Linked DNA regions of Lytechinus pictus. The protein of the gene in region 1 purifies or fractionates together with the protein of each later gene. This does not show direct contact. Links are inferred from orthologs where the notes say so. Each region holds a gene or a part of one and is shown in the gene's direction. Other genes may lie near its edges.

Evidence for each region. Proteins that work in one complex are often made in the same cells at the same time.
Region 2: the proteins of intraflagellar transport protein 25 homolog (region 1) and intraflagellar transport protein 22 homolog purify together in Homo sapiens (affinity purification with mass spectrometry; 3 studies listed by BioGRID and IntAct, with this or other methods). This does not show direct contact. The link is inferred for Lytechinus pictus from reciprocal best matches to the Homo sapiens genes IFT25 and IFT22.

Annotation. Positions count from the first base shown.
Region 1 is NC_087255.1:5,608,291-5,615,725, reverse strand, and holds the start of intraflagellar transport protein 25 homolog, read left to right. Parts: upstream 1-4,419; 5' UTR 4,420-4,621; coding exon 4,622-4,713; intron 4,714-7,435. UniProt on the Homo sapiens protein: Component of the IFT complex B required for sonic hedgehog/SHH signaling.
Region 2 is NC_087246.1:23,441,567-23,448,894, forward strand, and holds the start of intraflagellar transport protein 22 homolog, read left to right. Parts: upstream 1-4,325; 5' UTR 4,326-4,489; coding exon 4,490-4,525; intron 4,526-7,328. UniProt on the Homo sapiens protein: Small GTPase-like component of the intraflagellar transport (IFT) complex B.

The DNA of each region.
Region 1 (7,435 bases):
TTCTGTATATTTCTTAAACATTGTAGGCCGGAGACCGGGGTGAACTGGGACGCGGGAGAAGTGGGACACCTCCTATATCTAGAAAAGTTTTCAACTAATCAGCTATCTGTTCTTATCCCCTGATAGACATTAGGTATTAGAGTAAAACCACATGGAAGCAACAGCGCAAGAACTCCCCTGCATGGTAAGTGTAATTTTAAATTTTATTTTTTCACACTTTTTTTGTAGTTTTTTGCAGTCAGTGTGAAGTACTTTTTGAATTTATTCTTATAGCTTTAGCAGACACTTAGCATGCTTTATCTAGGCCTTGTTAGTCCTAATAATTTGCATACTAAGTTTTTGCAAAAATGTGCAAATTTGAAAAGTTATCCGCCATTTAGATTTTTTGTGTTTGTTGGGATAAACTGGGACATGACTGTCCCACCTCTCCCTTTACTGTCCCACTTCTCCCAACTGTGTCCCACCTTACCCCATAGTCATACAATATGGTCCTCACACCAATGACATTCATATCACTTTAAATCAATATGGCATAATCATGTCGGTAGTAGTTCTTGAAGCTTGTGTTCATATAATTGTAGGCCTTGTATAAGTATGGCAAATTGATTCAAACACAATCTATTCAGGAACATGTAGTCTATCAATTAAATTAAAGCAGTAGGCCTACACTTTTACATCACCTTCATCAATACTCTGTTAGAGAACCTACTTGTCAAGTCATATGTTGTGGTACTGTCAACAGTTCATCCCATTTTTATACTTTTGCAGATAACATGCCAAGGAACTACAAACGAAAAACTCGCATGGGACTAACGTCCCATGCAGAAATGTTGGAGGCTGTTCAAGCAGTGGTGAGAGATGGGAAATCGATTCGAGATGCTGCCCAAGAAGCAGACGTAAAAAAGTCAACTCTCGGGAGATATGTTGCCAAGTTTCGCGCAAACCAAGATGCAAGACTAGCTCCTAAATATCAGCATTCCTTGGTGATCTCTCCAGAAAAACTAGAATGTTGAAAAAGTTGATCAAGTTTTGCACATATCTCAGTGTGAAGGATATTGCCCAAACTGTTATGGTTTAAGAATTTTTGTTTTACGTTGACAGGATTTTTACTGTAGCATGTGCAGATTAGGAATTTTCAGAAAATAGATGGGGAATATGTACCATATTTCATGAGTAAAAATACTCTACACAAAAGACTTTAAGGTATCGTGAAACAATATGAGCAACATTTGAAACATATCATCTGTTTTTTACGGTTGCAATATATGCTCAGTTTTAGACGGCTATTCCCATCTACACAATTTGTTGTTTCCCATATTGAATTAAGGAAACTTATGTTCGGTGTTTGTTATTTGCTTCCCCCATGCACAGTAGGTCTAATGTTTAGCGTTGACAGATTAGCTCAAAGCTTATGGCGGGATGGGCAAGTTGAATTAGATTTTAATAAATGTTCTAATTGTTGATGATAGAGTTACAGTTATAAAGTCTGACATTTTTTTCCTGAAACTACTTACACTAATTGTATGTGACAACATGTCCCCAGACCAATGAAAGGTATTAGCTTGTGGCCTTGTGCCACATCAGAGAATTATTGTAACTAATACTCTTGAAATATTTTAACTTCGTTTTTGAAAGGTACCCTAATTTTACATTTGAAAGAGCATCCAGTTTCAAAATCGCTTACAACAGTATAGCCTTACTTGTTACAAAATTTGAACTTCTAAAGGTTGATTATGATTTATTTCCCAAAATAATGACACCAAATTGGTGTGAAGTGTGGAAGGGAAGCATTCACCAACATACTTTTGGTGAAAACAAATTGCTTTGCTCAATTTAATGAACACCTGATCCTTCATTGTTAACTTAGACAAATATCTGCATATGAAGAAAGCAACAATCAACAATACCTGAAGGGCTGAAAATGCCAATACAGGGATATGTTGCCAACATTTGCATTTTCAGCCCTTCGGATATACTTTTATATCTTACTTGTAACTTGTACATGTAAGAGGATGTCACACAAATTTAAAGTACAAATATACATGTGTTTTTAAAAACAGCTGAAAAAAAATAAACCACAAATACATCTATTCATCCACAAGTTTTGATACTTATGAAGGAACAAAAAGGATGAACATCCCACAGCACTGTCAAGGAATGCCATAATTTTTATTGTATCAGTTTGAATTACAAATAATGTTGTTTTCAGCATTAAAAGTTAAAACCAGTTTACTTGAGGAGCATTTACATGTGTCTTGATCTAATGCATTATTTTCTCTGAGGTGTGTGCGTTGATCATGATTGATTTTTGATTGAGATTACAATGGCATTCATCAGCAATTAGGATTTTCTCATAAGTAATATGGTTTACATTGACTCTGATATAATAACTGGCTTTGGTGGATGGCTGATTCATGATTACGTCAAAGTAAGGGCATTGAATAACCTGACATTTATCGATAGTTACATTTTCTTTCGATATGTCTAAGATAACATATTAATAAAAGTATTCTGGGGGCATATCCATTTCATATCTGGTAAGTCATAAATACACATAAATACACACACACCCATTCACACTCACAGGCACGCACACATGAAAAGCACATATATATTCATAATATATATACATATATGCGCAATGTGATATTCTCAACCTTATTAGTAGGCCTATTTATTGTTTGTCTCACTTCTCCCTAGCCATCCCACTTTACCCCAGCCGATGTCCCAATTCTCCCAGAGGTGGCCCACTTCTCCCCGTTCAGAAGCTTTTTACTAATCAATGATTACACAAATATGAGACTTGCAGCAATATGAACCAACGTTCCATCATGTGGCCTAGCATCGGTTGTCTTAAGGTACAAAACACAAGTTCCCAATTCTGAATAAAAGAAAAGTTATAAGAGAAAATTCATCAACTTGTATTTTTTGTCCCACTTCACCCCGGTCTCCCCTATTGCTAAAAGTAATGATGGTAAATATAAATATTTTATGTGTAAATCAATTGTAAAAAGTCTATGGCTAGCTTTTTTGCAGTGACTCATGAATATGATACATATTTCACTAATCAAATAATGATTTAGGATGCAGGATGTGTATACCAAAAACAATTCGTGCTATGAGCTGATTACACTGACCTGTCAATGACTGTTTGCAGTGTCTCGTGATAGAAAAATCTCTCTTGACAACTGGCATACAGTGCTAAGCCCATTTCAGATTAAAGTAGGCCTACAAGAAATGTATCTCAAGGGATTTCAATATACAATTGTTACGAGCGCGAAGCGTGAGCTTATTTTTGTTTGCGACCTAAAACCGGGACATTCTAGTCAGCTACTGACGTTCGCATTGCGAAAAAAATATCTTGAAAATTTGCGAATAAAGATGGTGGAACTAAATGCCCTATTATTTCAGTCTAAATTGCGTACTGACAATGTGAAAGCAATTTACGGGAACTTTTAGCCCAGCGTGTCGTTGGGCGCGGGCGCTGTGGGTGGCTGCTGGGCTAGTGGTTTTGAATCTCGCGCCTTGCCTGCTTATTAGACCATACTGCCGCTGCGCGCGCATGCTCCTAACTTTAGGAATTTATCCCGAAGGGTATGTTTCGGGGCGATGTGAATGCAGGAATAATTAATGGGTATTTTTTAGCCTAAAAATGTTCTCGTAATTTAACGGGGATTCTTGTGATCGAGGCGGTTTGAAACCGCCTCTTTTTTCTCAACGGAAAACACGTACGTATATAAGACTCCGCATAACCTGCATCACACACAATGCATTACAAAGATAATGAAAGAAGTCGAGACGTTTGGAAAATATGCTGGGCCAAAAATCAATTGGACTAAATCAAATCTTATGAAAATGAATATAAACAACGGTGAAACTAACAATCTTTTTACTGAAGATCCTATAAAATGTCTTGGCAGACTTGGTGTCCTCCCCAAATAAAACTGAATTTTTTTTTCTATTTCCTTAAAAACGTCTTTTGGGACTATCATCAGGAAAGAAACATAGTTTAATTTTGAAAATGCATACACATTCAAAAGTTTTATTTTACCATAATATTGTAAGATCTCTTGCTTCCACCAACCAATAAGTCTTTTAATTTTACTCAAGATTTCCTTATAGTTCAAAATCATCTTTGACTTTAGAATCCCGTGCGAAATATACCCCTAAGATTTTAATATGTTGTAACCAATGTCCAAAAAGTGGTAAACTAGGTCTATCTCTTTCTTCTCCCAACCACAAAAAAGTTTGTTTTATTAATCTTCAATCCACTTAAATTTTTTTTACTCTATGGATCGAATCCATATCTTTTAGAAACAATGTAATGTCATCTGCATACAGAACTTCTTTTATTTCCCGTTTCCCAAATCCTATCCCTTTACTTTCATCATCTCTCCTGATATAATGAGCTAATAGTTCAATCGCTATGATAAATAAATGTGGAGAGAGTGGATCTCCCTGCCTTACTCCTCTATTAACTTCAAAATATCTCACTTCACTGCACTAAAAGTGAAGTGGAAGAACGCCATCTCGTGCTCAAACACCGTGGTTACGGGTGACGCATATTTTCTGGGATTAAATAAAAACACCTGATAAATTTCGGTAAATCATCACGGTCATCATGTTTGACGTAGCGCTAGCAGAAGCAGGGGCTCAAGTGCCTATTTCAACGTCAAGTGATGAAAATTTTCCTCCCGAGAATATAATTGATGGGTAAGATAGCCCTGATTGGGCTTGCACTATTCATTTTATTCTATACTTAGTCCCAGGTGTCCAATACCGTGTCAGTTTTACCCACTGAACTACAAGTTCAACTAAAAAAAAGAGTATTGCCGGACACCTTTAATTTTTTATTTCAGTGCTTTAAAAATGACAACTAGAGGAAATGCAATGAAGAAAATTTCGCACTTGCTGTGCCAAATATTATGAAAATTATGAATATGATGAAATTATTTAATATTTACCTAGGCCTACCATTTTCTTTGCATCGCACTTGCCGCAGGCCGCATTCGCATAGGCCTACCCCTCCACGGCCACGAAAAACAAATATTTTCGTGCGTGACAAATTACATCATGATTCCAGACGTGCGCCGGGCGGGTTAAGAATATATTCTTTGTTATAATGATGTAAAGAAGAATTGGTGTGATTTTGTTCTTAATATATCATATCATGAGTAAATTTGTTTGCTTTTTTTTATATCGAATCTGAGCAGATGTTGGAAATATAATTTGTGTTGCTAACTAATTTTATGTTTTCTTTTTAACTGCATATTCCAGGGCACTTTCCAATATTATGCTCGTTTGTATATCGTGATGCTCATCAAGTTCTATCGATGCGCTGCCGATCGTCGACTAAAATAAAGCTCTAGTCACGGTAAACCTTGCGCACGGGTACCTTGAGAACTAGCCGTCGACGATCACCCACAATACACCGCACCTCAACATTCGATCAAAGGAGCGGACGAGAAAGAAATTCGGCAAATCAGGCCTTATTTCTGTCAGAAAATATATCAATTGTTATTGCAAAACTATGTTATATGATATTTTAAGCATTTTCTGTCATTTTAGAGATAAATAAGGTAAACTAAAAGTTGGATTTTTTGCCTTGTTTTTGCAATCTTGTTCTATGTATTGCTCTGTGAAATTAAACTGCGGAAGTCTTACGGTACAAAATTGTTTTCGTACGTAGTAATATGCGCGTCCGGAATCATGATACTGTCCGGTAATACAATATGTGACTGTACAATAGTGGTTCTACCAAGTAACGTTTGACCTCTAACGCTACTACATGTTACGTTGGAGGGGTGGACATGGTGGAGGCACAAACAGGATGGGGGGGGGGTAGCCTGGAGGTAATTGGAGAGTAACTAAAACAAGTTGTAGTATATTGCTGTAGACTTATACAAGCTTAAATGGTAATGAATGCAATGCCTAACTGCCTAACATTAGCCCTAGCCTAGGGCCTAGCCACCAGCCTAGCCGCCATTGAATTCAAACAGTGCGCTAGTCGATGTCAACATAATATCAGGTTTCATAACAAGATTATTGCAAGTTGTGAAAAATAGACGGTGAACTGGGGGAAATTGAGGTCACTGAATCTATTTTTAGCACTCTCAAGCCTCGTAATTGCCGTCTCTATGTCCTGCAGTGGTATTAACCTGTCCCCATAAACAAGGATAGTCTCAATTCATCAAGACATGATTTGTCTTGGTTTATGATGATATCCTTATTTTCTGGGACAATCCCAATTTTTGGACCGGCGCCTCAGACTCTGAGGCACCAGTCCAAAAATTGGGATTGGGATGGGTTGAAAAAAATCTGGAAAAGGGGTGGGGGAAAAGAGGGAGAATTGTGACTGTGAGAAAATAAAAGAAAACATATTAAAAACAATTATTTATTACCCGTAGCAGTTGAAATAACAGCCCCCATCTAAAAAATAACTTGGCGCCATCCCTGATAAAATGCATCAGAGTGCAATCAAACGACCCCAAAAAATGTTAAATGTTGATATGTCACGCATTTTCTATCAATGCTGACGGTGGCGGGCGGTGTGCAAAGAAGATCATGCCTACGTAGGACATGTCTGGAGGTGTCTTTCCAAGGACCATTCTTCGTATCGCCCAAATCGGCTTTGTGAAACAGTTGAGTGATATCTCGTTCTACGTAGAACGGTTCTACCAAGACCATTTCCTGAAACAATCCCCAGGATTCCGTTCCAAGCTTGTGCTGTTACAGCAGTGCAGCATTAGAGACCTGGCCATGGGTAATTATTAGCCTTGAGGACTCCGTGATGATAATTATTTTTATATACTTTTTCATCAGGGAGCCTTGAAATGGTTGCCATATATGCATAAGCGAGACTTGTCAACAAGGATGGATTTCCCTAGGAAATCCATAATTAGAGGGTGAAATCAGTTTGTTTCTCTTGATTTTATTCATCTATGAACCTTCATACACCTAATGCGTACATGAAGGGATTAAAAATATTTTAGTATAAATACGAAAAAGGAGAGGTTTCTTACCAGACCGATCTTGTGTAGATCCCTCGATCCATTTGTAAACACCAAAAATACAATAGGCTTCACCCTTGAACCGCTTCGTTATGACGTAGCTTCGATAAGCGATGTTACAAAATGCCGTTTCAAAGAACAATTTATAGATGAAAATTATTATTTAACAAATAATAAAATTTGAAACTTGATTATAAATAACTATTATTAAATAAAATCAAGAGAAACAAACCGATTTCACCCTCTAATTATGGATTTCCTAGGGAAAGCCATCCTTGTTGACAAGTCTCGCTTATGCATATATGGCAACCATTTCAAGGCTCTGTGATGAAAAAGTGTATGTAAAAATATTTAAAAATATCATCATGGCTAGGTAATTATTGTTTTGTTACTGGGGTGCTGAGAATTGTCAGAGTACCCCAGTA
Region 2 (7,328 bases), on another chromosome or scaffold:
ATTTTTTTTTTTGCTTTATTTTGTGATTAGTTGAATGCAAACGATATAATTGGTCAGGAAAGATACAAATTTATGAGAATCACAGTTTGAAGGTTATTTGTATGTTTGTCTAGCTTTCATAAACATTTAATGAGCAATGAAAATTTCGCAAAATTATCATAATTGATAATTTGGAGCGTTGTGGCCCAGTGGATTAGTCTTCAGACTTTGAAACAGAGGGTCGTGGGTTCGAATCCCAGCCATGGCGTAATTTCCTTCGGCAAGAAACTGATCCACAATGTGCTGCACTCAACCCAGGTGAGGTAAATGGGTACCGGTAGGAAGTAATTCCTTAAAAAGCTGTGTGCGCTATGAACGCCTAGCTTAGCCGGGTAATAATATAGGAGCGCCTTGAGCACCTAACAAGGTGGATATGTGCGCAATATAAATACCCTATATTATTATTATTATTATAATTATTTCCATCCGTTCATGTCTTTACTGTATATTGTTAATTCTGCCCCCATTGGCCAGCCATTGAGTCAGAGGGCTGGGGACAAAGTCCTCTGGATCATGGGATCACCACAGAGAGGAGCAAGCCGTATACCTCTTACGATTTTTTAAAAATAATTTAAGAAGGAAAAATGATAAAACTGAGATAAATTTTTAGTTAGAAAAAAGTGCAGAAATAGGACGATAGGATTAAAAGGGAATCGGATAGGAAGGAGGAAGATGAATCAAAATAGGGGGCGTGGCAGGGGTGCACATCATGTTTTTTTTTTTTTTATCAAACTCGTTGAACTGTACCCCTATTTTACATCTGCCAAAAAAATATGTCTAGGCTTATTATGTCGCCTAAATACCATGGCCTTTCCCAATATGACCATGGCTGTTGCTTAAAGGGATGATCCGGGCTGAAAATGTTTATATCTAAATAAATATAGTAAAATTCACAAAGCAAAATGCTGAAAATTTCATCAAAATCGGATAACAAAAATAATAACAAAGTTATTGAATTCTAAAGTTTATCAATATTTGTGAAAACAGTTATATGCACATCGACATGAATATTCATTAGGTGGGCTGATGATGTCACATCCCCACTTTCCTTTTTTCTGTTTTTATCACATGAACTCATAAATGTTTTTTTTTTTTTTTCATACATGTGTAAATGATGTGGATCAGTTATGATGAAATACACTGTATATTGCAGCAATAAATAACTAATGAACTAAATCAGTTGTAAATCCAATTGTTTTAGTTCTTGGTAGATAAATGTTGAATAAACCTGATTTCATGTAATAAAATACAAAAGAACAAATGGAGATATGACATCATCAGCTCACCTAATGAATTTTCAAAAAGACATGCCTAGAACTATGTTTCACCGGAATAATGCAAATCTTTAAAATTAAAAAAACTTCGTTATTTGTTATGCGATTTCGATCAAATTTTCAGCATTTTGCTTTTTGAATTTTAGTCTATTCATTTAGATATAATTATCTCCAGCCTGGACCATCCCTTTAAAATAATAGGCTATCTTCGCCCAAGGTTTTCAATCGGATGTGTTTACAACACTGCCCAAGGTTCTGACTCTGCAGTCTAAATTTCATGTCAATTTTCCAGGTCATTCAACATTTCGCCGGTCTAAACTGAACAATATCATCAAAACGCCATGAGAAGGGACGTTTTGAATACGGAGCGAGCGATGGAACCCGCAAAATGTTATTGATCGATTCAGGACATTGATATGAGGTTTACCATACAAATGTAATTTTCTTAAAGATGTGTTTATTATTTTCTCTCATAATCCAACACATGTTCATATACGAATCACCCAACAAAATCAAACAAATTATTTTTGCCACTGGCTTTACGCAAAACAAAATGAGTCATGCATTAAAAGGTAGCAAAGAATGCTGATGACTAAAAAAAACCTTCGTGCAGTGTCTTGATTGCCAGATATTTTGTCACGTACTCGATTTATTGTATATTTGCTTTGTTGATTTGGAAAAGTTGCAGAAATCATAAATGAAATTATGAAAATGAAATATTGCAGTCATCCAAAGCTGCCGTCCATGATAAATTATTTTCATTATATTGAAATTATCAACACTGCAACACCACATACTTTTTAAGCCCCCCCCCCCACAACACCACAAATCACAACAATAAACAAATAACCGTCTCCTCTTTTTTTTTTACTCTAGAATATTCCAAATGCGTTCTTATACAACTATTAAAGGGTTACAAGCATAACTTCGAATCCCCCAGCCTCCCATATTTAGATGGTCAATCTAATTTATGTTTGTTTCAGCTTCTTAATTAGATCTCCCTTTGGGTTCGAGGAACCACTTACTCCCCTATGCATGAGCATTTGGCAGGGATCAGAGCTAACAGAATCATTTTCTCTCTAACGGGTATTTGGAAGGAAAGCCAGTAAAATTACCCCCTAAATACATTATGTTTGTGGAAGACTTTAAACTTTCCTCGTTAACTTTTTATCTGTAAAGAAAAAAATCAAAGAGACCACCCTTTCAATGAATCTTTAGGATTTTCCCTTCGAAATAATGAGCGTGCGTGACGAGGTCCAGATTACTTAATAATATTATCAAAATGATATATAATCAATCAGTGGCGTACCTAGGATTTTCCAAAGGGGGTCAAATTTCGTTCGCCAAAAAAATTGACAAGCAAAAAAAAAAAAAAAGGTCTTTAAGTTCAAAGGAGGGGGCCACTTGTGGCTCGTCAGGGATCAGTTTTGACTCGTCAGGGGGGACAGGGATACGTCCTTTGCATGAGTTGTGACTCGTCAGGGGGGGGGGGCAGTCTGCCCCCTTAGGTATACGCTAGTGTAATCAATAGTTATTTCCGTTGTGTATTTTTATCATAAAATATACATCTACGGTATGTCTTTCACATACTTAGTACTGTTGTTAATTATGATCATGAAAAAAATATAAAGAGTAGAGCTTATCCATTGTTTCCCCAAATTAAATTTTACGTTAGGTAGGCCTACATGTATATCTGGCATAATTGAGCGAAATAAGGCCAGTGACGATATTCCCCCAATCAAATTTTACGTTAGGTAGGCCTATGTATATCTGACATAAAAATTATTGAGCGAAATAAGGCCAGTGACGATATTCGGCCCCCAATTCAATTTTACGTTAGGTAGGCCTACATGTATGTCTGGCATAATAAATTGAGCGAAATAAGGCCAGTGACGATATTAATATCTATTATATATCTTTAACACAAGTCAACCCTTTTGGCAATAAAAATTGTTATTTTCAGCATAATGAGATAGTAAATTAAGGACGTTCCACAGTTATGTTTGTGCGCATTATGATCTGCGCATAGTTTACACCATAGACAAATAAATACGGTTTACACTCTGCGCGCTGACGTCACAATGGATGAACAGGTGATTAATTAGCTGCGGGTATGTGCTGATTTTTCTCATCTTCTGCACTTTAACTGCAGATCCGATGCGTTATTTCATGAAGCTAAAAATTGGAATTATTCCATGGACCATTCAAAAAAAGATTCTCTACAATTTCAAAATACTTTACTCTGCAGTGCTGCCAAGAATCACGAATATTACCCCGAGTTTGAATAAATGGTAGAGTGGCTTTGATTTTTTCTTCACATAGATACTAAGCATTCGGCGCATTTTTGGTGTTTTAAAAAGCACATTTGCTCTAATAAAAATACTGATAGTTTAAAAACAAGCACATATGAACCCCTATTTTTTAATGTTTGTTCCTCTTAGGTAAACCGTCCTCTACAACTCTACAAATTTTGGTGAAAATGACATGGATTTTGAATAAAGTGCAGCATTTATTGTACTTTTGTAGTTTGTTACTGAAATTTCACATTTTTTAGATTGGGATTTTGTTATCTTTTACGCCATTTTTAAGAACTGACAGTGCTGTTAAACTTAAAATTGCAAACAAATAGCATTATAAATATATTCTCCATTCTAACGATACAATTATTAACTCTCTTGCGAAATTTGATGACTTTTTCATGTATTTTGACTGAGTAATAGAGGTTTAAACTCATTGTAGTAATCTTAGGGCGGTCTAAAAATGCCAAATTCTTTTGGATGCGCAATTCTTAAGAACATCAATTTGGGTGAACTTTGAAGTTCTATAGCAAAAAATCAAGCACATGGACCTATGTTAATTTTTGCATATTTCGAATATTAAGGTTCTAAAGTATCTATGTGCAAAGTTTGGTGAAAATGATATGGATTTCACTTTAACTGTACTGTGGAACGTCCTTAAACAAACTATTTTCAGCAGCCATCGAATCTGCATCTATCTTACAAGGACGCCCTCTACGTACAAATTACAGAGTAGCATTTTTCTGCAGCTATATAGCTAGCAGTCGACTTTATCAATTAATTTAAGTAATAATAGTTAGCGGTGCTCGTTGTTGTGAATTCCGGTACTAAGTAGCCGGACCATTAAGGAGCGCAGTCTGAATTACTTCTGGTATCAAGATGAAAGCAAAGATACTGATGATTGGGCCAACAGAGGTATGAATTGCTGGTTATTTGGCAGTCAGGCGCGTACGAGTACCGGCGCGGCGGTACCGGTACCATTAACGGAGCTGCGCACCCGCTCTGCAGGGTCAGCTCCGGGTACCGTCTCCGTAGCTACCGTTCATTTGCGGCCTCTTGCCTGAGGCTGAGAAGTGGGATGAAGAGGCAGTGACAATTCTTTATTCATGGAATTAGGCAGTGGGCGTAGGCTTTGTAGGTACTTTTTAGGCTTAGATATAGGCTAGGTTAGACAATGGTGATGTACCGGTACTTGCGCCAATAATGACATGATGTAGCTGGCAGCCGTCTGTTTCGAGGAGTTTCTTATTTTTAACATAGGCCCTATTAATTTTTTTTTAATTTCTCGTACACAGACGTCTCGCGATCGTGCAGCTGCCATTACTCATTAGGGGGTTAACAATGCAAAATCCTCCTGACGGGGCTCATTGATTTTTGTCTTTGTGGTCTTTATTTCATAAACAGAACGCCATGGGTTAATAATAATAAGGGCACAACTATAATGTAAAACTAAAAGAAATAAATAAACTAGACAACTTTGAGGTTACGTGTAACTGTCTTTAACCCTTTCCACGCGTACTTCGCACCAATGCACACTCAGTGCCGTGCGAACTTCGCATTTCACACTCAACAAACAATGCATTGTTTCCCTCCCTGAAAATAATTCAGTACAGATGCGCACAAAGAGTTAATAACCGTGGCCAAGAGACCAACACAAGGTGGTGCGCTTACAACTTAGCGCATGTAACATTGAATCATCATTATAATTGTAAAACAACATACTGGCGGAACTGTACCAAAATAAAGATTTTTATTCCTTTTTTGCCTGAAATGCACCAAAACGGGAAAATAAACTGAAAAGGAAAAAAACAGTGACTTTCATGCTTACATATATTTTTCTATAATGAATATTAACATACTTAAGGCACAGGAAATACTACCGGTATTTCTTTACATGATGAATGCGTAGCTTTACGACTCCTAATGTACATCAGGCGGCAGCTGCAGCAAAATAAAGATGTGTTTTGAAAACACAGCAGGACTTTTTGTAAGTGAGTTTGTGGTATTTTCTTCTTGCTTAAGGATCTTTAGAATATTTACCACAAATTAGTGACAGATCATTTGTTCAAATATTAAAATTGGCATAATTAGGTCCCCCATCATACATCCAATGTTGAAATTAAAAATATTGTCTTAAAGAAAAATAAAATATTGAGGAATGAAATATTCCTGTAGAATGAAGAATTATTTAATGAGACTAATTTAATTGACTAATATATACTGTCTTTGGAGCGTTGTGGCCCAGTGGATTAGTCTTCTGACTTTGAAACAGGGGGACGTTGGTTCAAATCCCAGCCATGGCGTAGTTTCCTTCAGCAAAAAATTTATCCACATTGTGCTGCACTCAACCCAGGTAAGTTGAATGGGTACCAGGCAGGACTAATTCCTTGAATGCACCGAGTGCTGAAAGGCAGCTCGCGCTAAAGCCGGGGAAATAATAATAAAAAATGCGCCTCGGAATAGATTATTTCTAGATAGATGGCACTATATAAATGCCTATTATTATTATGATGCAACATTGACATCGAACAAAAGTTGAGAGTGTAACGTGCAAGCGCCATTTGAATTCAATAAATGGACAAAATGTAACTCATCATACCTCAGCACACCTCATTGGCTTAGTGAGATGAGAGTGCTATAAAGCAGCATTTCTCATTGGATACTAGTATTTCTTCAAAAATTGTTGCATGTTTCCAAGATAAAATTAAGATTTATGGTTCTCAGAATACCAATTCAAGGGGATTTTAAGGATATTTTGTCTCACTGATTTTAACAGGAATAAAATATTTTATTTTTATTAAAGATAAAGTAGATCTCAGAAATGAGAATACCACACCTGGTCCTATCATGGGATCTGGATTGTGTAACATTTGTATTTGGCTCCAGTGTGTCTTGAAGATTGATGTTAAGGGAATAGATTTAGACTGGCAAATTAGAAACAATTATTTGCATGATAATCAGATATTGTAGTGGCAATATTTGCCTCCCCTGACAAAGTTATAAAAGTAAAAGGGTAAGATATAATGTGATAGAAATAATGAATTGGGAAATGGAGGGGGCAGGGAAATTGTAAGAGAAAACAAGGGAGAAAAAAAGATACCCCAAAAGAAGAGAAAAAGAACAGAAAAAAAATTGTGGAGTGATAAAAAGTCTTTGAAAAAGTCTCCTCCATCCAAAATATGAGAATGACAATTCAGAACTAAGCTCTGCTAGAAGGGAGAGCATGGCAATGGTAATCCGCCAATGTAATGCCTAAAGGCAAGGATGAGAAAAATAAAAGGAGGAAGAAAAGGGAAGAAGGGGAAGGGAAGAATTTCAATTAGCAAAATTTTAGGTCAATGTATCAAAATTAAATTTATGCTTGTGCTTTTAGCTTGCATTCCATTTTTTAATGAGTACTTTTCATGAGGGGATCACAGTGAATGTCTTGTTTTCAAGTATAAAAAGTATTTTAGCTCACGCTTTCATTAGTTTGCTATACTTGTATGCATCATGTTTATGATTACAAAATAGCGCGTGAAATGTCCCATATTCTGGTCCAAATTATGAAACTAAAATCAGCCAGATGTGCTTTATTCACATTATTTCTTCAATGTATGTAATCATGTGTACGATTTTCTATAAATAGTCTTAAACTCTCTCCAGGTTGGCCTATTTCTTTTGTGGCATGTAACATATTTTTCAAAAAGATCTTAAAATGTTTTGTTGTCAGAGTAGC